Linked DNA regions of Alligator mississippiensis. The protein of the gene in region 4 purifies or fractionates together with the protein of the main gene of each other region. This does not show direct contact. Links are inferred from orthologs where the notes say so. Each region holds a gene or a part of one and is shown on either strand. Other genes may lie near its edges.

Region 1 (7,501 bases), on a different chromosome or scaffold from region 4:
ATGCGCCCGCATGCACCCCCTACGTGTCACCAATGATTTAAGATCAAAATAGCCAAAGCATCATTCAGAGAAGTGACCTTTTCTTTCATTTCCAAATGTGCTGTAGTTTGACAAACACTGAAGAAACTCACTTTAGACGCATTGATTCTAGACAGTACTCCCCAGTGTCAAACTTAGGATTCCCAAACAAGCTCATAGATAATTTAGTCAAAAGATCGCTAGAGAAGCCTAACTATCTGAAGCTAATATTCTAGATGTAGCACACCCTGGAGTTAGGCTAGGACATGTAGCTGAAATAAAGTTAGGAACAAATCTACTGTCAGTGGATAGATGGCAGACATCCACTCTCATCTGCCTGAAACTGTCTGTAGCACGTTGACCTTGAGATATGTTTTACCTGAGAGAGGCATTAAGGATCCAAGGAAATATTCTGAGTCCTTTTCAGAAGGACACAGTCCACAAGTAGTAACAGGAAAACTGTGCTTCCTCCAGTAGATCCCTCTTACATGGAATTTCATAAGGATCAATTCTTTAAACAACCACTATGTCAACTGGTCTGATAAAGACTCAAGTGGTGGCAATAAACAGATAACAGCTCTACCAGTCCCTCACCACACGCTATTAAGCCACTACTACTGAGATGGCCCTGCAGAGAAATAACAGCTGGCTGAAGCTGAACCTGACAGGTGTGGGGTCAAACTGGGTTTGAAGAGTTTGCATGGTGAAATCGCCTTTGACTGAGGCACAATTGCTCAATTCAACATGTAGTTTGGGAATGCTTTTGGCTTCCTCACTAACACTAAAATTCTCACAAGTAACTTGCCTATCATTTTTGGCTTGATAAGTGGCTCTCACTAACCCTGGCAGACATTAACCTGGCCTCAGTTATTCAGACAGGGAGCCACACTAGCTTGCCACAGACAGAAGGCAGGGTAGATTGGCATCAGACTGAATCAGAGCTACACAAGTAAGCGACAGTTTGCTTCATCAGAAGCTAGGAAGCTGCTGCTTAGTAAGGCTTGCACATCTCCAATTTAGTCTGCAAGGTGCTGTGCGGGCTGGGTCAAGCCCCGGGCCCTTTTTGTCGCTCTGCACGCGGGCTGTGGCCGGCAGCCTGGGCAGGCCGGGTCAGAGAAGGAGGTCGCCGAGCTAGAATTAGGCACAGACGCGTAACGGTTGATTTTAAGATTGTTTACTTACACCGAGATGGTCGCGGTGCAGGCTGAGAACTTGCTTGAGTTACAGTTGCGGATAGAAAAGAAGAGAGGCGGACTAGAGTTCCTCCGGGAACACTCTTCTAGCCCATCCGGTTGGAGGCTCTAAACCGCGAGCCTGTCAGACCAACCGGAGAAAGTCCGTCCGGTAAAGAGCTCTGAATAGACTCACTCACACGAAGTTTGCTAGGCTCCGTGGATCCGTCTCTTTGGCGTGCAGGGAAGGATACGTCTAGGATCGTACGGCGACGGGGAGAGGCTAGAGGCTGATCAGACCTCTGTTGCCTGCTTAAAATGCTTTGGGTCCGTGAGGATCCGCAGCGCTTAGAGATCTTCACACAGCGTGAAGTCTCCTTCTCCTGGTGTTCGTGGAGTCCTCCAACTAGGGCGGAAACCACACAAGCCTTTTATACGGCTAGCAGGCCAATCGCTAGCTGTCACATGTGAATAATTTAACGTAAACCAATAATGGGGCTCGAATTAGAATACAAATGGCAGGAACTCTTTGCAACGTGCATCACCGTGCTGCAACTTAGAAATGCACACTGCAAAGAAAGCTACGAATTGGCGGGAACTTCTTTTGCACCCGGGGTTCTCTGTTGCAGCAGAAAACTCCACCGTGCAAAGAAGCTGCAATTTGGAGGGAACAATTTAGCGGGGAGCAATTTAGCTGTGCCGAAGCACACAAAACAAAAACTCACAACTTGGGTTGTGACAGGTGCAACTCTAACTTCCTTCTGCCTTGGTCACTCATGCCTTTATTGCCTCTTAACAGGTCTGCAGCAACACTGTCCCCAGAGGCGAGATGTCCTCAGGAGTGTGTTGGTGTCAGACCCACATCACCAGACCCAGAGGCTCAGACCCACACTCATTCTAGTGCACCTTAGCCTGGGTGTGGGCTACTGAAATGCAGGGGGAAGACTGAGCTTGACAACTTTGCCCACTCCAGGCACCAGGGCCTCTCCCCACTGCAGCTCTCACTGCCCCCCACCTCCTTTGCCTTCCAGGCCCTAACCCCCAGCAGAAGCACCAGCGCCTCTAATCAGTGTCACCCTCAGAAGATCCCCTGCCTCCCCCCTAAGCAAACCCCTGCTCTCTGCTGCAAGACGGGAAAACCAGGGTGGATTTGATTCAAATCAAATTAAATCATGATTTAAATCACTGGTAAGGGAGCCTCGATTTAATAATTGGTTTCTAAAAAAAGTGCATTCTTGTAGTTTGATATCCTTTATTAACTTCTTGAAACTTTGCACTAAGAGGTAAGGGCTTGACTGTGTGTACACAAACTTGCAGAGAGACAACAGGGCTGATGAGTGGGTAATCAGGTCTGTTCGCTCTCACCTCCATACACTGCTGTTCACAAGGATGTTATCTCTAGAGACAACATGCTCCCCCTGTGCTTGAAGAAGGGCGTTTGTGCCCAAAAGTTTGCAAAGAACAATTTTTTCAACTATTTAGTTGGTCTAATAAAAGCTATTGTATCTACCCAAAGAACCTTGTCTGTCTATGTGCTCTAGAGACACAAATCCAGTTTCATAGTTTCTAGGGGCAGAACAGACCTGAACAGATCATCAAGTTCGACCCCCTGCCCTGGGCAGGAATGAGTGCTGGGATCATAATACCCCAGCCAGATATCTATCCAACCTCCTCTTGAAGACCCCCAAGGTAGGGGAGCGCACCACTTCCCTTGGGAGCCCATTCTAGAGCCTGGCAGCCCTAACCATAATGTATGGCTTAAGTAATGCCTCCTGGTATCAAGCCTGAACTTGCTTTCAATCAATTTGTGGCTGTTATCCCTTGTTATTCCAGGTGATGCCCACGGGAACACAGCCTCATCTATTTTCTGCTGGTCCTCCCTGGCAAATTTATAGACAGCCACCAGATCCCCTCTTAGTCTTCTCTTGTGGAGGCTGAATAGATTCAGGCCCTTTAGTCTATCTTCATAGGGCCTGGCCTGCTGCACCTGGACCATACGAGTGGCCCTCCTCTGAACCCTCTCAAGGTTAGCCACATCCCTCTTCAAGTGCAGTGCCCAGAACTGGATGCAATACTCCAACTATGGCCTAACCAGCACTGCATAGAGGGGAAGGATCACTTCCCTGGACCTGCTTGTGATGCATCTGTAGATGCACAAGGTGTAGTTACCTTATTGACCACTTCCTTGCATTGGCTGTTCATGTCCGTCCTGGAGTCAACAATGACTCCAAGATCCCTTTCGGCTACTGTGTTAATAAGAAGGGTGTTCCCTAGCCTATAGGTATGCTGCAGGTTCCTTCTCCATAGATGCAGCACCCTGCACTTGTCTGCATTGAATTCCATCCTATTCTCATCTGCCCACCTCCGTAACTTGTCTAGATCTAGATGAATTCTGTCCCTCCCCTCCAGTGTGCCCACTTCTCCCCCACATCTTTGTGTCATCAGTGAATTTGGACAGCGTGCTTTCCACGTCCACCTCTAAGTCACTGATAAAGATGTTGAATAGCACAGGCCCAAGGACCGAGCCCTGGGGAACTCCACTGCCCACATCCCTCCAGGTTGAAAATGACCTGTCCACCACCACTCCCTGGGTACGACCATTGAGCCAATTTGCCACCCATCTGACTGTGTAGGCATCAATGCCACAGTTGCCTAGATTTTTTATGAGCATGGGGTGAGAAACAGTGTCAAAGGCCTTCTTGAAGTCCAGGTAGACGACATCCACCTCAACACCTGCATCCAAGGACTTTGTGACCTGGTCATAAAAGGAAACAAGGTTAGTCAGGCAGGATCTGGGCCCCTAATATATAGCCCATGGCCTGCTGTGACCTATTAATAAAACATCTAAAAAGGTTTAATGAATATATTGTCTCAAATAGTATATGACTATAAGTTATAATCCCAATTCCATGATACCTTTGAGCTTTAACATAAATTAAAACTCTATATGGTTTTTTTAAAAAAGCATCTTAACCAAAAAAAGATTAAATTAAAAAAAAATCTGTTTGAAATTAAAAAAAAAAATATATTTTTTTTAATCGTTTTTTTATCCACCTTGGGGAGGCACGTGGGCCAGAGCACGGTGGCCTGTTTACTACGCCTCTGCGCATGCGCTGGACAGCTACCCCCCCCTCCCCCTCTCTATTCCCACCCTTTCCACGAGGAGAAGCCCCGCCCCCCTCCGCGGCTGGGGCTAAGCGGGCAGCAGCCCCGCCCGCTCATGCGCAGTGGCGCCGTAAACAGGCGAGCGGCTCCTCCCCCAGCACGGCGCCTGCGCGGACGCCCCCGGGCAGGGCGAGTGAGCGGCGGCGCCTGCGCAGTGGGGCTACATCCGGGCACTGGGGCAGGATGAATGCTCCTTTCCAAGATGGCGGCGGAGGGAGGAGGGAAGGAGATGAACGAGATTAAGACCCAGTTCACCACCCGGGAGGGGGTGTACAAGTTGCTGAGCCACTCGGAGTACAGCCGGCCCAACCGCGTGCCCTTCAACTCGCAGGGCTCCAACCCGGTCCGCGTCTCCTTCGTCAACGTCAACGACCAGAGCGGCAACGGCGACCGGCTCTGCTTCAATGTGGGCCGGGAGCTCTACTTCTACATCTACAAGGGGGTCCGCAAGGTACCGCGGGGCCGGGGCTGCTGCGGGGTGGGGGCCTGCGCCCGCAGCTGTGCCCCGGGGGAGGGAGCCCAGGCCCGGGGGACGCGCTGCGTCAGGCGGGGCTGCGCCCGCGCGGCGGGGCCTTTGCCGCCAGGTGCCCCCGGCGCTGGCCCGTGTCGCTGCGCGGGGCCTGGCCGGCCTCGGCCGTCCCCTGATCGCAGTCTCTTGTTGGTGCCCCGTGAGTGCTCGAGGCCCCGGTCTGGCTTCTTTCCCTGGGCCAGGAGACAACTGCGCTGCTGGACGTGGGCAGAGGCAGCGATGTCGGCATAGGGAGAGAGGGGTGTGTAATCTCTACCGCCTTTGGGACCCTCGCCCCCCCCCCCCCCCCCCCCCCCCCCGGGCCCCTGTGCTCGGTCGGGGTGGGAAGCCGAGGCACGAGGAGAGCCAGCGACTTGCCCAAGGTCATGAGGGGAGGCTTGTGGAAATGCTGCCTGGGTCTCCGGGGTCCCTGGGGAGTGCCCCAACCGCTCCTTGCTAAGCACAGCCAGGAGCTGAGGTTCGGTTGTCAGTGACTGAGGGCCCACTGGATCCCATCCATTACTAGTTTCTGTGAAATGGGTACATGCGCTTGTTCGCCTTCATGCCTGCTGGGTCAGTCCGGCTTGTTTGGGCGGCTCTCAGCCACATTTGTGAATTTCAAGACTTAATTATCAACTGGTCTTTTTTTAAGTTCCTGAAAAGTATCTGGTGTTTGAACAGAAATATTTCTCACTCATGCGAAACAGTTGCTAGCTTTACTACTTTCCTTTCTATAGGGAGGATGCAGTGTCCACAGATCACTGGCAGCAGCCTCCTCTCTTTATTCTGCCACCCATATAATCTAGACTTCTGTGTCTGTTGTGTGTAGGGAATAGCTGCAGATTTCTGCAACTGTTTTACTTGGAGCAGGCTTTCATGTAGCCCAATTACAGTACATGTGACCCTTGCCAATCTCCTTTTTTAATTGATCTTTCTTAAAAGTAAAGAAAAATCCAATGGGTGAGAGTGTCTCTAGACCAGGAAACTTCTACGTGCCAGCTTTAAAGTTTATACACTTTATTTGCTGTTTTTAAATAGTTTTTCAGTATCTCTTCAGTAAAATGGTATTTACGTTTGTGGGTGGGTAAAATGTTGAAGGCAGAGTAGATTTGCATCCTTAACTAAATAAGACATGCATAGTATGAACTTTTGTGAGCCTGAGCTCACTTCATTACATGCTGTTGAAAATGCTCCTATATCTGCCCATTGGGTGTCTAACTTAGGGGTTTTGATGCATAAGAATAAACATTATACTAGATGCCTGTTTTCCTCTGAACAACATTGTAAAACATACAAGAGAGTTGTAATGAAATTTGTATTTAAGAGCTTGTCAGCAATTTTACCAATTTGATAAAGGCTATAAAAGAGATGATAGTTTTATTTATGTAACTTGAGGGTTAAAGTTTTTTTTTTCTTTTTTAAAAATAATTTTCTTCAATAGACTTGGTTACTTTCCTAATCCATTTAGAATAAATCGGTTCAAAAACTTTAAGTTAATTATAACACATGCAAATTTGTCGTCTTGTTGAAACTACAAAATAAATTGTTATTTTTACATCTTTCTTATTGCCAACTAGAGTTAAAAGTCTCTTGTTTTGACTGAAGTCAGTGTGAATTATTCCACTGACCTCTACTAGGGGCACGGGCTTTCCACCAGGTTTAGATAACTGTTTCTGTAGCAGAGCTTTTTTGCAGGTTACTGATTCTTCTTTAATATATATAATACTTGATTCAGCTATGGAAGAGTTGCAAAGTAAATTATTAAACTCTTGCAACTGCTTTCTGAGTAGTGGCTCCAATGAGCATTACTGATATAAAGAAACCTTTAGATATGCAAAACTTTCTCTTAGCAGTCTGCTGGAGTTCTTTGAGTATGGCAACAAGCATGTGTGGATAAGGAGGATACAGTTGTTACAGTATACTTGGATTTGCAAAAAGCCGCTGACAGTCTCTTGCAAAAAGCTGAAAGAAAGTAGGCTGTCCTGGAATCAGAAGGGGAAGAAGGCCCTTTCACGTACTGAAAACTGGTTAAAGGGTAGGAGTTGAAGTGTAGGATTAGATGGTGACTTTTCAGAATGGAGGAAGGTAAACGGTGAGGTCCTTCAGAGAGCTATGCTGGGACCTGTGCTGTTCTGCACATTCAGAAATGATCTGGAAAAGGGAGGTAGTTAAGTGGCAAAGTTTGTAGGTGATACAATTTTGTTCTTGATAATCAAAACTAAGGCTAATGGAGTTGCAGGAAAATCTCTTAAAACTGAGGGTAATAAAGAGGCATATCAGCATTGAAATGATCCCTGCCAAAGGGGGAAAAATAACCCAGGCTATACATCCCCAGTGATGGCCTCTGTATTAGTTATTACTACTCAAGAAAGATTTTGATGTCCCTGTGGAAATTTCTCTAAAAACATGAGCTCACAGTGCACTGGTAGTCAAAAAGGCAAATTAAAAATATTAAGTATCATTAGGAATTTATATGAAGAAATGGAAAATGTTCTTACATAAAATGTAGTACAGTCACATTTTGACTTCTTGCAGTTCTGGTCACTCCATCTCAAAAGAATATACCTGACTTAGAAAAGGTTCAGAGAAGGGCAACAAAGATGATTGGGGTATAAAACTGCTTTTGTGCTATGAGAGA
Region 2 (7,878 bases), on a different chromosome or scaffold from region 4:
TCCTCCACTTCCACCTAGTCCAAGTGGTTTGGAGAAGGACCCCGCAGAAGTTTGAATGATGCTCAAGTCGGAGCTACTTTTCATGAGAATCCTCTTCAGGATTGCTGCCGGCGATGCCAAACAGCTGTGTTCCCTTTGCCCCCACCTATGCACTGCTTAATAGAGCCCTGCCCACATGGTATTATGGTCAGAGTTAATGGATTTGGGACTTGGATGGATGCCGTTAAGCAGGCAGGGGAGAGAGGAAATCACCTGGTGGTTTTTGATATCCACAGGTCTTTCACCTGATCTGTTCCCATGTTTCTGGAGGCTTTACTGGAACCCCAGGAGTGCATTAGTACAGAGATGTGGAGTGTGTAGTGGGAGGAATGCCATAGCATATCACATGCATAACCCAGCAAGCTCAACATAGGTGGAACATGCATGATGCAGTCTATATGTTATTACTGGGACCTGGAGGAATGAGAATGGAGGCTTTCCTGGCTGCACCCTTTCTAGACAACCATCCTGTACAAACCCTTCCTGTTATATATGGCTTCTGTTCTATACATTGTCCCAATCAGTTCAGACACATCACAAACCAGCCATAGAAAGAGTGGCTGAAACTTGGCATGCTACCATTAGCAAAACCAGGCTTGATCAGACCAGCAGAGAAAGCAAGTACTGGTGTTAGGGGTCTTCCTCTTCCAGTATCCCTCCCTCTTCTTCAGGCCCAGTTTCTCAAAGAACCTCAGCATTTAAGCTGATTTTCACTATGATGACAGGTCACAGTAGGAGAGGCACGGCTGTGACTCAAGTCAGTAAAAGCCACTCAATCAAATAGAGAGTAAAGTGTGTGCACAGAGAAAGGCAACACAGCTTGTGCAAAAATTTCCAACACCAGAATGATCATTATGTATACCATTAATGAACAGTGCCATTGCAGGGCTAAAACAACCTTTCTTTTTCTTCTAAGATGCTTTGGCAGTAAGTACCTAGCTCTACATAGATAACATGTTCCTGAGTACATGCCTCTATGAAGTATCAGAGCTGTGTTATGTTCTCCCACAGTAGCAGCTGATACAAATTCTTACCCGATATTACCCTTTGGTTGACAGGCAATATCTTTTGCATAACAAGGACTAGAAGCTGCAGCACAGTTAAAATTATATTAATGTTCTATCCCAAATTGCCCAAAGGCAGGACATTTAGGTTTACACAACTGGCAATCTCAGCTCGAGAGAGGCCCAGCACCTGAATAACGGTGTTGAGTTAAGACTAAGGGACACTGGCAGAGCTGTGGGGTACACTGGATTGTCTGGGCTCACAGCTGGAATAGCAGAGGCTGTTTGTGGGTCACGGCTGGCATACACTGGGGGAAAAGAAGGGGTTGGGGTGACAGTGTTGAAGAGGTGCTTTAGTATGTCAGACTTGAGGCATGCTGCCAGAGCTGGATGTGAACCTACAGCAAGAATGGGAAGGGGTGCTGTAGGTTGGGGAAAGATGCACTGGTAATGTTTTATGCAGATACTTGCCAGCAGATGAAGTTAGTGTGACTAATACTTGACTTTCTCATCTACTCTAAATTCACTTATAAAAGCCTAAAGAGAAAAAAAACAAGCAATCGGAGGCTTCTATTTTGCTCTGAATCCAACCACTTTAGCATAAGCATTGCAGAGGTCTCAGAACAGTGTGATCTTACATAATGCCTATGCTGCAATACACAGGCACAAGAAGGTGAACTGAGGACAGAGTGGCTGCCTTAGCTGTGAATTTCCTGGCTTTTGGGAGTTTACGTCAGTCTCACTGTTTTAATGTCCTTTTTAAATTTAATTTCCTTCTAAAATAGTACTATAAAATTAAGGAGGGGAGAGAAATAGGGGCGTGATAAGCCCCAACTTTTAAATAGCTAGAATTTGTTACAGAACATCATCCAGATTGAAAAGTGTTCTTTAAAAGAAAATTCCATCACATTCATGCCAAGTGATCATTTTTAAAGAAAGTAGCTGCCATTTTTGTGGTACAGTGTGAAGCCAGTGTGTGAGCTCCTCCCACTGACTTTCATGGTATCCAGTGGAGATATGGTGGAGGACTCTGGCCTCACTCATGCTTTCTGCACAAAATAAGTGGCCTGTTTCGCGTTGGCTATCTTTGAAGCCCGCAATAATGGCTTGTTAAATGGGAAATAGAAGTGTTGGGGTTGGGTCAGGGAAACGATGTAACGTTTAAGGTTATAGGAGGATTTAAAATGAAAGTTAAAACAATGCTGGTAGATTTTGTTCCTCGTGTATTTATGAATGTCCAGAGTTTCCCCACTGCATTTCAATTAGGCAAAAGCTGTGTTAAAGTAACTCCCCCTTACACTGAACCAGCTGCTACCTTCTAAATTTCAGTTTCAATTTTAGCCTCTCATTTCCAAGGCATTCTGTTGGTCTCTAAAGGCAAAAAAGCTAACATGATTCAACATCACATCAAAAAAACAGACACTGCCAGAAAGAGATTAATAACATTATAAATCCACTGACAAATAAGCTTGTCCTTAGGTCACCTATTGTAGCAATAAAAGGGGGAAAGCCAGGTCCAATTGCAGATTTATAGTAAGAGGTGGTCCTTTGCAGATGAAAAACAAATGAAAACGTCTCCTTTGATATTTGTACAGCTCTCAAGACAATCAGGTCCTGACCATGGTTGGGGCCCTGGTTGTCTTATAATACCAATCAAGCCAATTAAAAAGGAAATAAAAAGGTTGGAGGGTTGGACTTTCAAATGCTCCGTGCCCAGGATTGGAGCCAGGCTTCCAAGAGTTTAGGGCTGGTTTGACCATTTGTCCGCTGCTGCCAGTAAACCAGAACATGAGACTGAAAAAATACAAGTAATTTAGCTACTTTCCCTGTCCTAAACTGACAGCTACTGAAACATAAAGTGCAACACTAGTGAGAAGGTATTACATTACACACAGCATTCTGGGTTCTAGCTACAGTGCTGTTTCCAATACAGTTTAAAACAAAAGTCTTAAGCCAAACAACAGCCACAATCATTACAATAACCATCATTTCCTCCAAAAAATTCCTTTCTAGCGCTAACTTTTAGAAAACTACAAGAGGGTTTGTTTTTCTGATACAATGCTAAAAATAACAGCCAAGGGAACAAACCAGAAAACTATATGTTCTGATAACAGGGCTAGTCTAATATTAAACCCATAAAACAAAGAAAAGAGGAGTTTAGTTAGTGTTTAACTCCCACCCCTGCTGTGTCTCTAAACAGTGGTCAGAATATGCCACATGCTTCGAAAGCCAGGCATCCACCAAAGGGGTGGACTGAGGACAAATGGGTTTAGCTTGAAGATAGAGAATACCTTGACACAGACTTGCAGGCCTCAAGTAGAGCAACTCTTTAGCACTGCTGGGCTAGTGCAACAGAGTTAGGTAGGGACTGACTCCCTTGCAACTGGGGCGACAGAGCTGCTGAGTCAGTCTGTGCAATTATGTTCAGAGTTGAAACACGCAGCCCACTTTTTCCCTGAAGAGCTCACTCACTCACTCAGCACAGGGAGTGTAGAAAACCTGGCCCCAAATGTGTCACGGGGCGAGGGAGCTGCTGTGACCTGAGCCCCCTGGGGACATTGGGAATGTTGGCCAGCGCTCTCAGGTACAGGAGTCTGCCCCCCGTCATACGCACTTCCCCAGGCAAGGATACCCTGTGCGGCAAAACAGAGGGGGAGAGGGGAGCAGGAGAAGGGAAGGTAGGAGCCAGTCTGCTTTCACTGTTGCAGCAAGCAAAGGGTCAGAGGAGACAAAACAAATAAATAAAAAAGCCAGTTGTAGGAATTTGTGGGTTACATTTTCACATGTGGGTTCACTGGTTTTCTTTCCACTCTTGTGGGGGAGGATGAGAGACCCCCACACCAAGCAAAACTGAGCAGTGGAAGGAGTGACTCTGAATAGTATTATTAATAGTATTAGTAGCAGTAGCATTACTATTTTTGTTATCATTTTAATAGTACTATTATTAGTGCAATGTCGTTTGTATTACTATCATCACCATCATTACTGTTGTTGTTGCTGTTGTTATTTATTTATTGTTGCATGATGATAATTACTATTACTGTTATTGCTGTTATCATCCTCTTCCTCCTCCTCCTTGTTTTGGCCATTATTATTATTATTGCAAGATGATGATGACGTTATTGCTGCTGGTATCATCATTGCTGCGGCTGTATTTTTATTGTACCACGATAATGATGATGATCGCTGCTGGTATCATCACCGTCATCGTTGTTGCTATTATGACTATTTTTATTTTCATTCCTTGTACCTTGAGGAGGAGGAGGACTATTATTGTTGCTGCTATTGCCATCATCCTTATCGCTGTCGCTGCTGATATCATTTATTATTTCTTATTGTGCGATGAGGAGGAGGACGGCCCCAGCAGTAATCCTCATCGTTGCTGCTGCTGTTGTTATTATGGATTAACATTTGGATCGCATCCTGATCACGGCTCGGATCAGCATCAGCTCTGTTGTAATGACTATTTCTCCTTACGGGTATCCACGACCACTTTTGTTGTTATCGCTACTCTTCTTCCTCTTCCCCTGCTCACTGCTGGGGGGGCGATGATGGCTCTTCCCCGCTCCCAGAGCCGCGCTGCCCCGCGGAACGAGCGGCTACCACTCCCGGCCCCGAGGCGCCGCGCAGCGCCGGGCACATCTGGGCAGCTGCAGCCAGCCGCGCGCTGCCCCCGGCCTCGAGCTCAGCACCCCGGGGGGGCGGGGGTAGAACACCCTGTTGATTTGCATGCGGGAGCAGAGATGGCCAATGAGCAGGCGGCTCGCCCGGACGGGCAAGGCTGACTGCCAATGGACGCGCCGAGGGGCGTGGCCTCGCGCAGGGGACCCGCGGCCGGCGCGGGAGCTCAGTGCATTCGCAGCGGGCAGCGGCGGCGGCAGGTAGCGGGGCTGGGCAGCGCGGGGCGGGTGGGGGATCTGTTCCGCTGCTTCCCTGTGGTGCAGGGTGCGAAATGCAAACATGTGGAGCTCTTGGTTCCCAAATGCTACCTCTGATTAGACCAACTGGGGAATTTTAACTACAAAAAAATCGCTTTTTTGGGGGTGGGGGTGAGTGTGTGCACGGAAGCTGCGATGTGTGGAGGGGTCTCGAGGCCGAGCCCCAGCGCCTTCGGCCCTGAGCGTTGTGCCTGGTCTCTGGACATCAAGGGTGGCAGGCAGGGCGCCCCAAAGCCAGCTCCAGCCCTGGTCCTGGGGAGCCCCGGGGGCTTCGTCCCTGCGAATCCGTCCTGGGTGTCCGATGCCACCGAGGGGCATCCGGCTGCCCGGGGGTAGATGCGGGGCCTGCCCCCCTGCCTGGCAGTGAGCGAGCAGGGGGGGATGGATGCCTTTGCTGTGGCGCATCTTGTTCAAGTCGCAACAGTGTCATTTTTAACCTGGAATGTTTAATTTAGCAAAAGTCCCCGCGTCCTTAGTCTTGTTTGCCCTGGGTTTTTGTAAAAATGAAAAGGTAAATGTTCTGCTTTGCTACAGTTTTACCTGTTTGCAAACAGGACTTTCCCCCTATCTGCTCCGCTGCTCTGCTTTCTGCTCCCCGGTCTATCTGCCCCTGTGCTGCCTGCCCCCTCCCCGCTCTGCCTCGTGCCACACACGCGCTGCCTGTGACACTTGTGGCACATATGCTGGAGCTTGGCCACCCATTTTAGACCGGCTGATTGACAACTGGGCTGCATGAACCACAGGCAACCTTTTACCCACTGCTGAAATGGTGTCCTGCGACTTCCTATAGCTGCGCTCTCTAGGGCACTGGAGCAGAGACCCCTTGGTCTGCAGCAGTGATACACCGCACAAAGGGGGGCTCTTTCTTTCTTTTTTTCTTTCTTTCTCTAAAAGCCAAAGCTTTGTCACAAAACGAAGCTCTTATGTCAAGACACCAGTATTTTTCCTAATGATACCTGCCTAAAATATCCTGCGAAGCGTAAAAATAAAGACGTGAGAGAGAAGTTGGAGCAATTATAATAAATTGCACAAAATAGACATGATTTTAGGTTCTTGCTCTTATTTTCTCTCTCTTAGTCAATAGGCAAAATAGCTGTCGTGAAGCTGCTATTTTCCTGCTGGTAAATGCATACTCGGACAAACATATTGATACCACAAAAGAATATCATTTGCATGATGGGATGTAAGAGCTTTTGACGAATAAATTCAGAAATAATGCATGTCTTGAGTTGATGAATTCCAGTCCACATCTCTAGTGATGTATTCAAGATGCCTTTCGACGCAGCTTTGTATAGTTTTGTCTGCATGATGAGATTGTCTGTGTTTAAATAAACAGGGCTTTGCTAATGGTAGCTTACGTGGTGTAGGGGAGGCCTGAAGGTGCCAGTTTGTGAAGTGCCATCCCATCAAATGAGCAAACTGATGGTATTAAAATATTGCTTTCTCATCTGTTTTGGAGGATAGCTGATTTTAAATCAAGACTTTAAGGTTGGCTGGGAAAGATGCTGAAACTTGACTTAAAACATTTTAGCCAGTCGTCATGGGGCAAGAGCCGTGTTCAACCCGAGTATAATAAACAATTGAAAAGAAAGCTTTTCCCGTGTCCCGAAAATATGCTGGGGAAATTTTTTGAATTCTTTTTTCCTCAAACCATGTGTGAATACTGCTCCATAAGTATAGTCATTGCTCCATAAGTATAATCACGGCAGAGGAAACAAAGAAATGTTTTTAGCCACAGGAAGAAGAAGGCAGCTGGCTGCTATGGGCAAACTTCATAAAGATGCAGTAGGCTTGAATGAAAATTAGGTAGAATATTAATGAAGGAAAGGACTTTGCTGTCAATCTGCAAGCCCTAGTTGGATTGCTGAATGTGCTGGCTTGTAATCTTTAAGTGTGTGTATATTATAATGTTTGAAACAAAATACCTCTTCAAGTACAAGTATTTGAGGAGGTATAAACATCGCCGAGGCAGAGGAAATGATTACCACCATGCACAATGGAATTTCTAGGGGAAAAAAATGAAAGTGAGCAAGGGAACAATGTACTCGCAGTACTGCGAGTGCTAGGAATTTTACTGGACAAAAATGTAGTCCCAGTTGCTGAGATATTGTGTAATGTTATATAGGAAGTGATGAATGAGGGCAGTGAACACTTGGGGAGATGGAGAGTGAAGGGGAAGGAAGGACAGAGTGTTAGAATAAGATCTTGCACTTAGTATAGGCATAGATGTGCCTTGACTTTACAGTTACTTATTTTACGTTCTTGGGGGCACTTGTGGAACGTAGCTCGAACACTGGAGAGAACTGAACAGTCGTCTTTTGCTGCACAGTATATGTATTGAAGCCTCACAGGCTACACCAGTGATGTGTAGTTCAGTAGTTATTGTGGATGGCGGGGGGACTCGAAAGTCAGACCAGGTTTTTGTTCTCTCGTCTAGCACAAACTGGGGCAGTTGCTTTGGACCATATCAGGCTTCTTGTCTGTAAAATGGGTATAAATACTCATTTTGTTTTGAAGTACTTTAAGATCCAGTGTTTCTCAACTCATGGGCTGCAAAAATATTTGAAAGGGTCACAAACTTTAAAAATGGGTTCTCCTTTAAAGGAGAAAATTGTGGGAAACCGTGGTTTTTCCCTTGCAGGCTGGTGGTCCAACCTCCATGGGGCTGCTTGGGCCACCCCCCCATACCCCACGTACCCACCTGCTGCCCCACACACTGGGAGGCAGGGGGCAGTGGGTCAGGAGTGAGGGGCACTGGGTTGGGACTGGCCATTGATCTTTAGAAATGGGTCCTGGTAGAAAAAAGGTTGAGAACGACCGGTCTAGCAGAACTGTAATGGAACAAAGCATTACAAAGGTCTCAAGTTGCGGCAAGGGAAGTTTAGGTTGGATATTGG
Region 3 (7,120 bases), on a different chromosome or scaffold from region 4:
TGGTGCTAGTGAGTGTAGTACACAGTTATATCCACACACAGCCTTTGTTTTACAAGGCTAAGCAAGCGAAGATCTTTTAGTTTCCTCTCACTAAATAGGTTCTCCATTCCAGTGATCATCATAGTAGCCCTTCTCTGCACCTGTTGCAGTTTGAATTCCTCCTTCTTGAACATGGGTGACCAGAATTGTACAAATTATTCTAGATGAGATCTTACCAGTCCCTTGAACAATGGCACTAATGCTTTCTCCTTTGTACTGGTAGTGCCTCTGCTAATGACATCCTTATTTGTATTACTCTTTCTCCACCTTACTATTTTGTTTTCTTCTTTTTGGGAGTCTTTTAGATCTCTTGGCTCCCCCTGCAACAGAGTATGTATCACAGAAGTCATCTTATTTAGGGTTGACCTAGGTTCCTCTAGGGTCCACTGATATAGCTCCTTCGAGCAGCTATGCTCATTTTCAGAGGTCCAGTAACTAGAGCATCACCAACTCTTATAGTATTTTATGTCTTTCTTAAATTCTCTTCGCTTCCTGGAATGCTGCAAGAATCTCAGCTTTCTTTTTTTCCCAAAAGAGGTTCTAACCTCTGTGGCTATAGTGGTCAAAGCTTGTAAACAGAACTAGAATCACCCAAAGATGCAAAAAGCAGAATACAACAATCCCAATATTCATTTCCTTTTAAAAACCATTATTTTTGCATCAAGCTTATGACATGTAGATATCTGAATTGTAGTATTTTTACACTTTGTGTTACCCATGCTGAATACAAATGCATCCTTTCCTCAAAGGCTGAGTCTGCTCCTTCCACATTCTTGTCACCCAGGACACCAGGAAGAGAGTAAGGAACCAAACTTAGTCCTGAAGTATGAGTTGTTCTCACTTGTTCTGTTCTTGTTCCCCCTTTTCTGTTTGACTGCTTCATTGCCCTCTTTAATTCCTCCATTATATTAAAATGCTACTTTTGCAGATGTCTATTGATAGTAGTAAGAGCAGCACTAGCCTGAATTAATGCAGGCCTAGTTCAGTTTTGTGTGATGCCCTCCTAGACCCCGAGGGAGAAATATTATGCAAAAGCTTGTCTATATGGAAAAATCTGGGCACGTGTTATGAAAACAGAGGTTTCTTAAGGCTGCATGCCAATGTTAAATCTTTGTAACCAGCTATCAATCTCCAGCTTCCCTTCATGTGATGCTTTGTTATGCATTTTTATGGTGATCACATCCACCATTCATCAACAATATAAACTGAACGCTGCCTATAGGGTAAGGTAAGTAAATCCAGGTTTTTCTCCCCCAATACCGCATGGTTTCCTAAATATTTCTTTGCAATATGCTTGCCTCTTGTCCCATGTGGTTAAAAAAAATAAGTGCAATAAAAACTTTAGAAAAATCACATAATATTGGAGAGGAAAGGTAAGAACCCAGATTATCTTACCCCAGGGATTCTCAACCTTTTTCATAGTATGATCCAAGTCCAGTCCTCCAGTAATACACCTCAGCACAGGTGCTTCAAAGGTGGTAGTGAGGACCTGGTAGAACTGTGGGTGGGGTGCTCCTGGCATCCAAGAATGACTGGTTGCAAGCAAACCCACTTCAGTGGAAGACTGGACCCAGACTGAGAGCAGGCTCACAACCCTCATCCCCCTTGAACAACTGCTGGTGGCCCCCATGGAGGTCACAACTCAGAGGTTGAGAACCACTGCCTTACCCTATAGGTAGGCTCCATTCTCCAGTGCTGATGAATGGTAGGTGTGACATCACCAGCAAAGGGTATGCTGGGGCACCACATGGAGGGAAGCTGGCGACTGCAAGTAACTGCTCTTGAAGAACCTGAAAACAAGGGGGAAAAGCATAAACTAAAACAACAAAGTGCTGGAATGTGCACTTGCCCTATTTGTTTTGGACATTTAACACTTCCTCCTGACATGGATTTATTTTGTTTGACTGCTTTCATTCTAGAATTACTGAATAAATCGCTCGCCAGAAAGTCTTAGAGCCCCCAGATAACAAACATCTTAAAAATCCACAGGCAACGTGGCCTAATAAACCAGCCTTGACAGTCACAGTGTCAAAATGAAAAGTATACTTGAATGTACACTGCACAACCCTCCCTGTCCTCGAGCAGTGGGGCTGCGGGGGGCAAGGACCCAACAAAACAGAGACAAAATGTTCCTGTTTAAATGCACTTTTGGGATCTTTTAGAAGACCATGGGAAAGGTGACGTGTTTCAAAATGCACTACAAGGATCATATGGGGCTGAAAGCAATGCCCATTTGCATCCACTGAAATCCCAGCTGGGTGGGGGTTTGGAAATGCCTTACAGGGGGTAGACTAAGCAGGCGGACCTGGACCCGCAGCTAAGATTTTAAAGCTGGTGCCCAAGTCCATAATGAGGTGCTTAAAGAAGCACCTGGATTTGGTGAAACAATTGAGTGTGGGTGACTGCAGCGCGGGGGGGCGGCTGTTTGGGAAATGAAGCTGCCTACTCTAGGAGCCTACCCAGGGATTTAGGATCCTGACTCGGGCCTCTTTCTTGGAGGTCCTGGCGCCAGGGGCAGGGGGCAGCGAGAGGCAGCCCCCTCCCCCGGGGCATTGGGGGCGGAGTTGGAACCCTTCGGCCGCCCGCCCCCTCCCGGCCCGGCCGTGCGGGTACTCACCATATTACAGATGGAGGCGATGTTTCTGACAGTCATGAGTCTAAAGGTTGCAGCGATCGCCCACCGCCATCTTTACCAGGGGAAAACAGAAGGGCTCATGGCTGGGGGCAGCAGGAGCAGCACCAGAGCCCCCGGGCAGGCGGCGGCGGGCGGCGGAGCATGGGCTGCCGGCCTGCCTCTGCCCTCCCCGCGGCGGCTCCTCGGAGCAGCCGATTCAGCAGCACTGCACGGCCGGCCGCAGCAGCCCCCGCCCCCGCCCCCGCCCGGCGGCCCGGTTCCCTCGCTCCATCGCGGCACGGCGCAGCTTAGCGCAGAGCCCGCGGCAGCGCTGACAGCTCCGGGCAGCGCGGCGCGACTGGCATCCGCGCCTGCCAACCCGCCGCCCGGGCTGCTCGTGCGGCAGCCAATGGCGAGGCGGGGAGGACGGGCAGGTGCCGCCCCCGAGCCTTGCGGGCGGCGGGGCGGGGCGGGGCGGGCTCTTGGCCTGGCCGCAGCTAATCGCCTTCGCGGCTCCTGCGGGGGTGGGGGCGGGGCGGGGTCCCGGCGGCGGCCTAATGAAGCCGCAGGGTTTTGTTGTGTATGAAACAGCGTGAGGTGTCGGGAGCTTTCCAGACCCCACCACGGACTGCCCTGCGCTGCGCTGTCCCCTGCTTCCCAGACACACCTGAAGGTCCCTGGGGACTGTGCCTCCGCACGTGGGGCCGAAGAAATAAGGACTGGGCGTTGGCGCTGCCATAGCACCTCCTGCCCCGGGGTCAGAGCTAGGGCGGCCATTTGTCCCGTTTCATAGAAGTGGTCCGGTTTTCTGGTCCTCCGTCCTCTATTGATATGAAACTGGATGCCTTTATATCCTCTATTTTTCACCAGTTGGCACCCCCTGCCCCCCGTAGTGCCCTGCAGGAGCTTGCCACTCAATGCCACCACGCCCCGCCACGGCTGCTTGCAGGGGCTCAGGGTGCCCCCCAGCTTCAGGAGGCACACGACATTCGTGGTGGGCCTCAGTGCAAGTGTCCTCTTTTCTTGAGATACCTTAATGGCCACCCTAATCAGAGCACTTGCCAACCATCAGTGAACTGAGGCCCACAACATACTGGGAACATGACTATGCTGCTCCCGTACGGCACGACAAAGACTTGTGTTGAGACACAATGCGCTCACACTTTCTCCCCAGAAATGGTGGGTGATGGCCCAGGACACCATGGTCAATGGGGTGCCACACACACACATGTGAGCAGTAGGAGCCCTCACAGCAGCACTTCCCCTGTCCCACCCCGCCCTGGCAGGAGGAGCAGTGCCCAGTCTAGCCTTCCCACCACCTCCCTTCCACCTCCAGCTGTTGCTCAGGTAGGGTGGCCATCATAAAGGACATTTCGGTTTTCTGCTACTCTATTGATACGAAATGACCAAATCGTTGATTATCCAAATTAGCATAAAATCTTAGGATTCGGTTAAATCTAATCAGGGACAGTGATCCGAATCAACTAATTGAATTGCTGTCCCTGATTCAGGCCAAATCCGAATCGATTTGAATTTGGCCTGTTTCACACACCCCTAGTACTAGGCACTTGCCTTGCTGGCACACACCCAGTTCTGCATTAAGGCAACCACTTTACCCCCAGAGAATTAAACACTGCAAGAATAACTATACGGGGCAAAAGACATGTTTTTCTCTTCATCTCCCTCTCCCTCATTTCCTCCTCCTCCCTCCTCAAAGCCTGAAAGCTAATTTGGGTATACTTTTGACCACAGTAGGATTCTAGACAATAGCAGCTTCACTGTGCTGGGGCCTGAACCCACAGCATTTAGGTAGGCAAAACACCCTAAAATCAATGGAACCTGTTTTTTTCCAGAATAAGGTCAGGTCTGCGATCATTAATAAAAGATCAAGAGGACTGAAAATGAAATGTTACCAGCAGAATGCTGTTATTTGGTTTTAGTAATATATGTTGCTGGCCACAGGCCACTTCATAGTGAACGAATGCCAATATTACAAAAGTCACCATCCAAATCGACACTAATTTGGTCTGCTGACAGTTTCAGTGGAGAGGCCAAGGACTGAGATACTGTGGAGACGAACTACTGTCTTATCCCTAGTAGCCTGAATTCATCGTTACTAATCAGAGTAAACACATGTTAATGCCATGGTGGGGGAGTGGGGGAACCAGATGTTAAGTTCCACCTGTATGTTTACCAGAGCTATTAAGCCAGGTCCCCCAATAAGTACAAAATTTACTTTATATAAAACTCAAATAAACACAGAAGCAAATTTGTCTTTCATCCTCCATTGACTTCATGGAATTACACACGGATGAATTCAATCCTGTGAATTGAATTTCATTAGACCTAGATTCTCAGCTGCACCAGAGCTATGCCTAACCCAGCTAAGGGGAAGCTGGTGGGAATCAAGAGGTGACATTACACACCTCTCCACTTGGCTGCTGGATCAGTCAGGGCCTGGAATAGACTCCAATGTGCATGAGAAGCCAACTAGTAGCTCTAAATCATACAGATGAGCCACATAGGTATCATTTTATCAGCCACTGATCATTAGAGTGCTATGCCTTTTGCTGTCCCTAGCCTGCTTCAAACATGTCACTTTCCTTTCGTAAGGAACAGACGGCAAAGACCTGAGTGCTGGCTTTATACTGTAAAGGGATTCCTACGACATTGACAGTGCCCCACTGCCACTTTCAAGACCTCTTTCAATTAGTGGAGCATCACGAGGATTCGATCCAGGCTAATAATCTGGCCCTAATATTATTTTAGCTCACTTTTTTAGTTCATAATGTGTACATGTGAAGGCATGCAATAATTGCAAATGCAACACTGATTACTGCAAACATCAAGTCAAGACAGAAGGTAAGACTTTAAAAACAATCTTTAAAAGTCTTGAAAAAATAGCTATCATGGAATAATCAGCACACAACATTTAGTTATTATTTGATTTTTCTACTGATATAAGTGACTAGCAGCATTGTAAAACTCCTCATTTAGCTTTTAACATTAAAAATAAATACCACATGTATCAATCATGAGGTACCGAAATAGTTCATGTTTCTCCCAATCAAAATGGTTTGTGTTAGCGGTGCATTTCAGGAATAGGAATAAGAAAGAAATGAATCTGAAACAGTTCAAAGTAATTGTATTGAGATGAGACCAAGTAAATCTGGTCTCATCTCAATACAATCTCTGGTCTTTATTTGCAAGTAAATCAAGAAACATGAAAAAATACTTCTTTAAATCTTAAACATTTTAACATTAAAAAAGCCAAAGTCTGTCTGTCCATAACGCTTTATTCACACTCTGATTGACTATGGAAACAGGCAATCAGAGTGCTCCAATCATGGGGGAGCACTGCCATGATTCCAAAGCTGCGCTGAGGCCTGGACAGAGGGTGGGGGAACCAAAGCCAGCAGCGCTCCCTGCAAGCGGCACCAAGGACTGGACAGGCGGTGGGGGAGCCGAGGCCAACAGCACTGGCCTCAGCTCCCCCATCCTGCTCCCTGGAAGAGGCAGAATAGTGGCAGCATGGGGTGTTAGGTGGCAGCACTCCATCCCAGCCCCCTCCCCCTTGTCATTCTTGATGGGCAATTGGCTAGTTTCATATAAAAGTGATGATGAGATTAGGGAAAAGACGACTGGAAGGAAAGATACAACAATGGATAAGACAATGTAGAAACAACTTTATAGAATGCCAAGTAGTGCCATAGAAAAAAATATTTAGTAGCAGAATTATGGATTGATTCAACAGTCTACAGCCTGAAAGAATGCTGTGAAATGTTTGTAGTTTATCAAGAAAGGATACCAAAATAGTTTGTTTGGCACTGGGTAATTTACAAGGTTTGATTGGCATCTGTGCCCGCCTCCGCTCTATTGTACGCTTCCGCGCCACCTTTGCCCGAGCAGCTGATCTTGCTTGCCAGGGACCTACGTGCAGACCGCAGAGGGCACCTCGGCTGTCTTCAGGGTGACCTCCTAACTCACCTGCCACGACTCTGAGTGGTTCTTTAGTGTGGGGGGGGGTCCCCTTTGAGGGTGCCTCGAGTCCTCACGCATCTTGGCGGGCGTTCACGGGGCTCCAACCTCCCCTACACCCAATGTGCCACCCTTAGAGACGGGCCTCTGAGTCTTTTTGCGGCTATCCCCCTACTGGTGTCTTCCCTGGTCTCTGCGTTGCCTCTCGACGATGACCACCCAGGGCCCTGGCTGAACCTCGGTGGGAGGGTCTGGAGACCCTCAGCTTTTGGGCTTGTCTTCTCCAGTGCCCTTAGCCCTCTGTGTCTGCTGGCAGTAGCCGCCAGTGCGTTCTTGCGTGGCTCCTCTCTACCCCTTTGATGGGGTCCTAGCCACCCTCGCCTGGTGCTAAGGACTCCACTAATCTACCCTCAAAAGGGGACCAAGATAGACGAGCCCTAAAAGGGAACACTATCAATGTCTTGATCCTAAACCCCTTTGCCCTAAAAC
Region 4 (7,944 bases):
TAAGTACACACGCACACATACTTACACAGAGAAATAAATTTAGTTCTCCCAGGGACTGTGCATAGTTTTCTTTCTTTAAGGAAACAGATGGGTGGGGAAATACAAAGCAACTCTGCAACCCTATATCATGTTTTACATAAGTAACTTAACTAACAGCCTCAGAAACATGAAATTCTGTGCAGTTATAAAATTAACATTGTTACAACTTCTATCCCCTCTGCCCCTCCACCTCCCCAACTTCTGCATGGCAAGTCTCAAGAGCAAAATTTCTAATGCAAGAGCGGTGTTGTATTTTGGGTGTGTTGGTCTAAGGACATAGCCAGACAAGGTTCTTTGGGTAAATCTGATATTTTTTATTAGACCATCAAAAAGTTTTAGTTAGTCTAATAAAAGATACCAGATTTACCCAAAGAACCTTGCCTGCCTGTGTTGAAATCTGGGCACCTGACCAAGATTCTTGATAGATATGTCCTCCACTTATTTTGCATTTAAAATACTTCTACACTTTATTTTCTTCAGTAAAACCCCACTGCTATATAAACACTTAATTGCTTCCCAAATTAACACGAACGTATTTCTGAGAACTAAATGCTGTCACTAAGTCGCTCAAGTCGTAAGCTCCTGCTGCTAACCTGTACAAGTGCAAGCCAACCAAAGTGGTTTGCTACCCATTTCTCTAAACTTGTAAATTAGGGAGCCAAAGGCAAGTCAAATAAATGGTTCAAAGCCAAATCCAGCAGACAGCTCTGCTAAACCAAGAAGAAACTAATTGCTATTATGTAAACATATATTAGAAAGACAAACTTCTGTCATGAATCTAACAGAGAAAGACAAGTGCACTTCTACAAGAACGCAATACCTTACAACCAATTCAAACCTGAAGGGCAAATGTCAAATATGCCCTCATAGAAAGGAACACATCGCAAGCTAACCTTCTGGACCCAAATATCATGCAGGATATGGACAAAACCCAGATTCATAAAAAGGAGGCAGGGGGTGGATAATCACAAAAATTCACAGTGTAGTTAGTGGACACAGCAGAAACGCCCCACCTTTGGCTAAAGAAGGCTTTTTGAGGCAACCTTGCAAAAATTCATCTCCAGGCTGCTAGTGTCTGGAGTCTGACTCCAGAATCAGTTCCAGCTCTTTCCCCCCCCCCCGGGTCTAGTTTTGTTGCGCAAGGAATAAAATAAAGTTTCATTTTTCCTTTTAGAAATAAAAAGGAAAAAAAAAAAGGCTGGTAGGGCAGATAAAGATGACAGGCTTTTGGAGATGGATATTACTAGTCTGCCCACAGGTTGGGGAAGGGGGGGAGGGAGTGGTAACTGCATGCAGATTTACACTGTGACCCTAGAGCAGCAGCCCTCAAGCCTTGAAGCACCCCCAGGAAATTTGAGGTGCTCCTTTGAAAGCATTTTGCAGTTTTCACTGCACTTTAGAGTCAGGAAAGAGAATGGAGCCCTTCTTCTGTTGCCAGGAAGACCCCAGCAGGGCAAAACGCTCTTGACACTATGGATTCCCATTTTGCAATCTCCCCTGACAGAAGGGTCTCCTCCCGCAAGGTGCTTTAGACCCCAGAAAATCTGGGTGGGAAAGGGCTTCAGGAGGCCATCTAGACCAACCCCCCCACCACTCCCTAGCTCAAAGCATGACCCTCCCCAACCCAGGCTTCAACCTTAAATCCCCTAAGGATGGAGATGGCACCACCACTCTGGGCCTGCTCCGGGGCTCTACCAGCCTCCTGAGGAGGTAAGTTTCAGGTGTCTACCCTCCACTTCCCACAGCCTCGCTCCTTGGGCGGCTGCGTGCTGCCCCCCCGCACTGTGGCACCCACGGGGTCTGTCAACCTGGCAGCCCCTTCTCTCCCCCCCCCCCCGCCCGGCGGTAGCGCTGACCTGCATAGAAGCGGATGAGGCAGCCGGTCTCGGGGTCCAGGCCCTCCTCCTGCACCCGCCACAGGTCGCGGAAGCCGAGCTGCGAGAGGTAGTCGTTCTGGATCTGCAGGGGCCGCTCGTGGGCCTCCAGGCGGCGGCTGGTCTCGCCGTGCAGCTGCACGTACAGCGCCCCCTCGGGCGCGGGCAGCTCGGCCGGGCGCGGGGGCGGCGGCGCCTCGGCCTCCAGCTCCTCGGAGGAGGAGGACGAGGCGGACGAGGCGGCGCTGCTGTAGGCGTCCAGGCGCCCGGAGGCGCTGCCGGGGCTGAGGCTGAAGCCGTCGCTGTCCGACAGCTCGCCCAGCAGCGAGGGGCAGGAGCGCGGCGGCCCCGCGGCGTACAGCTCGGGGCCGGGCAGCGAGCGCGGCCCGGCGGGGCGGCGGCCCCGCGGCTCCCCCGGCACCCGCACGGCCCCGCCGCCGCCGCCCAGCCGGGCCGCCACCTGGGCCGCCGTGGTGTCCAACGTGCAGAGCACGGGGCGCGGGCCGGCGCCGCTGCGGCGCTCGCAGACGTGCACGCAGCCCCGCTGCAGGTCCCGCCGCACCCAGTCCCGCTCGGGCGCCGGCAGCGGCTGCAGCTGCCGGGCCGGCTTCAGCCCCGCCGCCTTCCTGTCCAGGCTGCGGGTGGCCGGCGCGGCCGACAGGTTCCTCTTCAGCCGCCCCCGCCGCAGCAGCAGCGAGTTGGCGCCGCCGCCCGCCAGCGCCGAGCCCCCGGCCGCCCCTCGCCTCTTGCGCGGAGCCGCGGCGGCGGCGGCGGCTTTGCCCGGCAGCGGCTGCTGCTGCTGTTGCTCCCGCGCGGGCTCCATGGCCGCGGCTGGCGCCTGGGTGCGGGGGCGGGGCGTGGAAGGCCGGGCGCCGCCGCGTTCCGCCGGGGGATTACGAGGCGGCCGCGAACATTCCTGCGCTGTCGCCGCGTTCCGCGCTCCGCGCCTCAGCGCCGCTGCCCAGCTGTCGCCAGCGCCATTAGGGGCCCGGCCGCCTCCCTCGCCCGGCCCCGCCCCCTTCGCGCGGGGGCTCATGAATATGCAGCGGCCCCCGCCTCGGGGTGACGCCATGCCGCCCTCTGCCGCGCGCATGCGCAGTTGGGGGCGGGGCGGGGCGGGGGGCGCTGGGGGATGTAGGCACCTCCTTCCCGCGTCCCGGCTGAGGCGGCGTTTCCGTTCCTCCCACACCCCCGATCCCGTGGCTGGTCTTAAGCAGGGGCAGGTCTTTCTCACTTTCCGTCTCCCAAGTCCTTGGTTTCCTTTCTGTTCCGTCCGGGCAGAGCGCGGACCAGCTGCAGACGCTTCCTTCGCCTGACCGAAGGGTGTTTGTACCCGCAAAGAAAAACTTTTCCAACTTCTTTTCGTTGGCGGGGGCTGGTCTGAGAGGGAGGCACGCCTCCCCCGCAAGCCCTTGGTTTCTTTTCTGTTCCATCCAGGCAGAGCACAGACCAACGGCGGACGCTTCCTCCACCTGACGACGGGTGTTTGTACCCGAAAGCTTGCAAAGAAGAATTTTTCCAACTCTTTTCGTTGGTGGGAGCTGGTCTGAGGCAAGCCTCCCTCCCCCCACAAGCCCTTGGTTTCTTTTCTGTTCCGTCCAGGCAGAGCACAGACCAACGGCAGACGCTTCCTCCGCCTGACAAACAGTGCTCGTACTTGCAAAGAAGAACTTTTCCAACTATTTTAGCTGGTCTAATAAAAGATCTCCAATTTACTCAAAGAACCTTGTTTCTCAAAAGCAGTCCTGGCTTTGCAGGGAGCTGTGCCCCCGCCCCCACCCCAATCTGTTGCCAGGTGTACGATAATTATCGTATATGTACACTCGTTTCAACCCTTGTACAATGTACCAGCAATGATAGTAAAAGCACTCAAAATGTACGATGGTGTCCAGGTTGCAGCTGTACAGGTCTAGAGGAAAAAAGCAATCAGGGCTCATGGACAGAGGTGATATTTTTTATTAGATCAAGATTTACAATATTTTATTTTACTAGATATCTTTTATTAGACCAACAAAATGTACAATCATTTTTGAGGGATATAGGTTGTGGCATATAGCTGTAAGAAATGGACACAAACAGATCACAGAGCAACTCCCTCAAAAGGACTCTGAGGAACCAAGGGGAAAAATGTCCATCCTTTACCTCCCCTGTGCAAAATGAAGTGTCTTTTCTACCTGGGAGAACTTTTACAATCTTTGAGTTCTCCTCAGCCTGACAAGGGTGTTTGGACCCAAAAGCTTGCAAAGAAAGAAATGTTTCTGCTACTATTTAGTCGGTCTAATAAAAGATAACCACCGCTCGCCCGAGAGTTTTGTTTGGCAATAATTTTTGAGGCAGACAAAACTCTTGGGCGAGAGGCGATATCTTTTATTAGACCAAGTAAATAGCAAAGAATTTCTTTCTTTGCAAGCTTTCAGGTTCAAAGTTTTGTTTGAATAAAAGATACTGCTTCTAGTCCAAGAGTTTTATCTGCTTCTGCTTTTTAGACCAACATGGCTACAACCTATATGCTGATAATTTTTTATGTTTTTGTCTATTAGATGTTTCAACTTTGACAACCCAGTTCTCACTCTATATTGCTCTTTGTAAGGTCCAGTGAGTAATATAAAGTAGATAAGACTTATTTGCATGCTTATTTGTATATTTTTTCAGTGTACAATAGTTTTTCAGCAAATATCATTTGAGCTTCTAATATAATAATTTCAAATTGAAGACCTGGCAGCACTGCCCCCCACCACCAACTTCCATCCCAAGGCCCATGGGGCTGGGCTCTCTGCTCGCTCCCCTCATAGGGTTGCCAGCCCTCCAGGATTGCTTTGGAGTGCCCAGGAATTGGACTGCTGAGAGTCACCTGGGAGATAAATGATAGGACATTCATTAAATATTAAATGTTGAGTCCAATGTATACAGTAGTTCAGTGGGTTTTTTAAATTTAATAGTAATGTGTATTTGCCTTCCTGACGTAAAATCTACGCACTGTAATCCATAATTGATATATGCAAGCAGGCAGACACATTTGTGTTGTGTGTCGCGGGCACGTTGGCATTCTAGAAACCTCCCGGAATAGATTCAAATAGAGTCCGCAACCCTATTTTTCAGTCTTCCAGCTGCAGCCCCTTTAAAGAGCCCTGAGGCCTTGGGGACCAGATTAAGAGCCAAACACAGCCCTGAGATAAACTCCCCTTTCCATGTCTCCCTCCAGCCCAGGGTTCTCAGGGGGTGCAGGACCCTGTGGTGCCTCCAGATCCTTCCAAAGCTGCCTCCAGATCCTGTCAAGTGTGCCACGGGGATGTTAGCACTCTTAGGTGTGCAAACATGACTCACAAGATAAACCCAGAGATCCCACGTAGGCACACGTCATGTTACCAGCGTTCTACCCCGCTGTGCTCTTCCTGAGGTCTTTGCAACACAATTGCTCCCTTATTTTTCAGTAGTCAAAAAAACAAGTGGAAGAGCTGGAGCTTTCCAGGGGGTGCCTCGAGTCTATCGACAGCTGCTTCCAGTCCAACAAGGTTGAAGGTCACTACTCTACCCCCTCGAGACCCTCTCAGTCCAGAGGGCCTGGCCACAATGCAAGCTGGAACCCCAGGGCCCTGGTGCTGCCATGTACTGCAACTTTCTCCTTCACGTGGCTTAAGCTAGTTTTTAAACCTATGCTAGGACTTTGTCCCCAACTCCGTGGTTCCAAGGAATCTGAAATCTTATCAGGGGCTTTGTTAAAAATAGCTGATCAAGGCAACTATAGGGCCTGGGACACTGATACTGGAATCTATGCTTCACGTCACTAGAAATTCATCAGTGTTCACAAGTAATTGCCAGTTCATAGCTTCTTAGTGGCTGGTGTGAAGCAATATGGAAGTCTGTTCACCTCATCCATGCAATTAAAAAAATAATAACCCCTGCTTCTTTTTTTGGTGAAGAGGTCAAGGACTGAAAATGAAAAGGGTGAGCTATGCTTCTTATTCCTTGAGGATGGTCAGAGCCAGGGGGAAACATAAATTTGTGAGGAAACTTGTGCAGCTGCTCTGTGTGTTTGATGAACAGAGACAAGACTTTGATTTTTTTTTAAATGGATAGAAGCGACAGTGAAGCTGTACAATTTTCCAAATAGAATTTAAAAATATATATTACAATTGCAAAGACTGGATAGAGTTTAACCAAGCAAATGCATTCATTTTAATACTATACAGACACAGTTCTTTGGTATTTACTTAAACAATCCTCTTCTGGAATTCACGGGTGAAGTTTTAGCTAAGTAATAATCAGCTAAATTATGCTCTAACTTTTTAACATACTTTTAAAATATGATTTATAAAGGTGTCAAGAAACATTTTGCCAAATATTTGTTAGAAACACCCCAGGCTGCACTAAATTGATAGCCTTTGGCAGTTAACCAAGTAACATCAGCATGATGGCAGACCAAAATTGAATCTTCCTTATTAAGAACCCTAAGGCCCCTGCTACACATTACATATTATGCAATCTACTGGTTAATCACACAATAAATCTCAACTGGTCACACGTGTAAAGTAATTATCACACAATAAAAATGATTATTCAGGTATAAAAAGACCAAACTAGCTATAAGTTAGTGCTTGAAAATGTGTAACAACTCTAGAGCTGGTTTCATCCAGCTTTAGTTTGAATGTGTAGCAAGGCCCAGAAAAACAATGCAACGTGAAAGTACAGATTTACCTGTGAACTTATAAACAAGGAAATCAAAATTCACCCTTCACAATAATGCAGTCTTTAACGTTTGTTCATTATTTTGATCATCTTTTATATCTTGTATAAGTGTGTTACAGAGAAAACACATAAGAGGTCTTCCCTAAATAATGTATCTTAAAAAATTATTTTATTTTCTATTAAATAGGTATCCAAATTATAGAACGAAAACAGTAATTATGTTCACAATTTATTTTCACTGGGTGATAGCTGTCCCTTTGAACTGAGTGATTTGTAAATGAGTTGCTCTGTCCTGAATCTGCAAAAATCTTGTCTATACTAACTGCAAGCAAAAGCTTCTTTGGAGTTATTTCTAAACTGAGTAACCAGAATCACATCCAGAAAGCAAATTAACAAAAGTTAAGTGCAGCACTCAGCCAGTAAAGGCAACCTTTGAAGGGAGTAATATACAGCAAAAGTGCGGCACTGTCCAGTGTTTCTGTCTACTTCTCCACTAGTTTTCTTGCTGTAAGTAAACTTTGATACTGTTGCTAAATTAGGATACATGTTTAAGAATGAGGCCTGTAAAGCACTAAGGGTAGACATCTAAGTGATTCCAGTTAACTTGCAAAGAATTGTGAAGGGTCAAGAAAAAGTAGACTATTGGAGATGAGAAGGTTTGAAAAGGAAGAATTTAATATTCATCAGCACTGACCCAGTGTATTTCAAGTGTGTTTTAGTAGCCTATTTTTTCTACAGAGAGAGAATTTGCCTACAGAGAAAAAGGCAAGTTGGCTTTACACTGAAACAGAAGCCAAGGAAACCATGTCAAATAAAGCAATATCATAATGTTTTTCTTTGTATAAAGCCTGTTTTCAAAGCAATGTTGGATTTCATCAATAATGATATGACTGAGGGTTTTTTTTAAGTTCAGCTTGCAATTCCTCTTGTCATCTCTATGTGCAGTTGCCATGATTGTGAAAGCAAATTGGCTTTGAACACATACAAGTGACAAAGAGCCAGCAATTTGTGCCTGCACTTACCCAAGTCATGGGCTTGGTCACAGTGATTGCATGTATACGCATGCTCACTGCATATTTTGCTCATCTAAGGCCATGTTTTAAGTAGTAGTGTCCTGGAGCATGCCATACTGCTTTCTCCAGGCTGTCTCCTAAACTGGAAGCAATGTAGCAGTGGCACAGGGAAACCTGAGGCAGGCTAAGCAGCCAATCTACATCATGTGGCATGCTTAGGGGCATCACTGATGGGGCACAGTAAGTTTGTTGTGAAGATACACCCTGAACTTGTTAGGCTCCTTCAAGAGAGCTTTTAAGGAATTGCTTAAATCTACCCCTTATTCAGGGAA

What was found.
Region 1: the proteins of PHLPP1 (region 4) and WDR20 purify together in Homo sapiens (affinity purification with mass spectrometry; 4 studies listed by BioGRID and IntAct, with this or other methods). This does not show direct contact. The link is inferred for Alligator mississippiensis from reciprocal best matches to the Homo sapiens genes PHLPP1 and WDR20.
Region 2: the proteins of PHLPP1 (region 4) and FKBP5 purify together in Homo sapiens (affinity purification with mass spectrometry; 4 studies listed by BioGRID and IntAct, with this or other methods). This does not show direct contact. The link is inferred for Alligator mississippiensis from reciprocal best matches to the Homo sapiens genes PHLPP1 and FKBP5.
Region 3: the proteins of PHLPP1 (region 4) and USP46 purify together in Homo sapiens (affinity purification with mass spectrometry; 7 studies listed by BioGRID and IntAct, counting the BioPlex papers as one, with this or other methods). This does not show direct contact. The link is inferred for Alligator mississippiensis from reciprocal best matches to the Homo sapiens genes PHLPP1 and USP46.

What each region holds. Positions count from the first base shown.
Region 1 is NC_081825.1:284,945,790-284,953,290, forward strand, and holds the start of WDR20 (WD repeat-containing protein 20), read left to right. Parts: upstream 1-4,498; 5' UTR 4,499-4,542; coding exon 4,543-4,806; intron 4,807-7,501. UniProt on the Homo sapiens protein: Regulator of deubiquitinating complexes. Activates deubiquitinating activity of complexes containing USP12. Anchors at the base of the ubiquitin-contacting loop of USP12 and remotely modulates the catalytic center of the enzyme.
Region 2 is NC_081837.1:36,310,616-36,318,493, forward strand, and holds the start of FKBP5 (peptidyl-prolyl cis-trans isomerase FKBP5), read left to right. Parts: upstream 1-4,872; 5' UTR 4,873-4,924; intron 4,925-7,878. UniProt on the Homo sapiens protein: Immunophilin protein with PPIase and co-chaperone activities. Component of unligated steroid receptors heterocomplexes through interaction with heat-shock protein 90 (HSP90).
Region 3 is NC_081825.1:58,528,121-58,535,240, forward strand, and holds the start of USP46 (ubiquitin carboxyl-terminal hydrolase 46), read right to left. Parts: upstream 3,018-7,120; 5' UTR 2,693-3,017; coding exon of another isoform or gene 2,657-2,692; intron 1,830-2,656; 5' UTR 1,789-1,829; coding exon 1,708-1,788; intron 1-1,707. UniProt on the Homo sapiens protein: Deubiquitinating enzyme that plays a role in behavior, possibly by regulating GABA action. May act by mediating the deubiquitination of GAD1/GAD67.
Region 4 is NC_081826.1:126,085,957-126,093,900, reverse strand, and holds the start of PHLPP1 (PH domain leucine-rich repeat-containing protein phosphatase 1), read right to left. Parts: upstream 3,001-7,944; 5' UTR 2,986-3,000; coding exon 1,896-2,985; intron 1-1,895. UniProt on the Homo sapiens protein: Protein phosphatase involved in regulation of Akt and PKC signaling.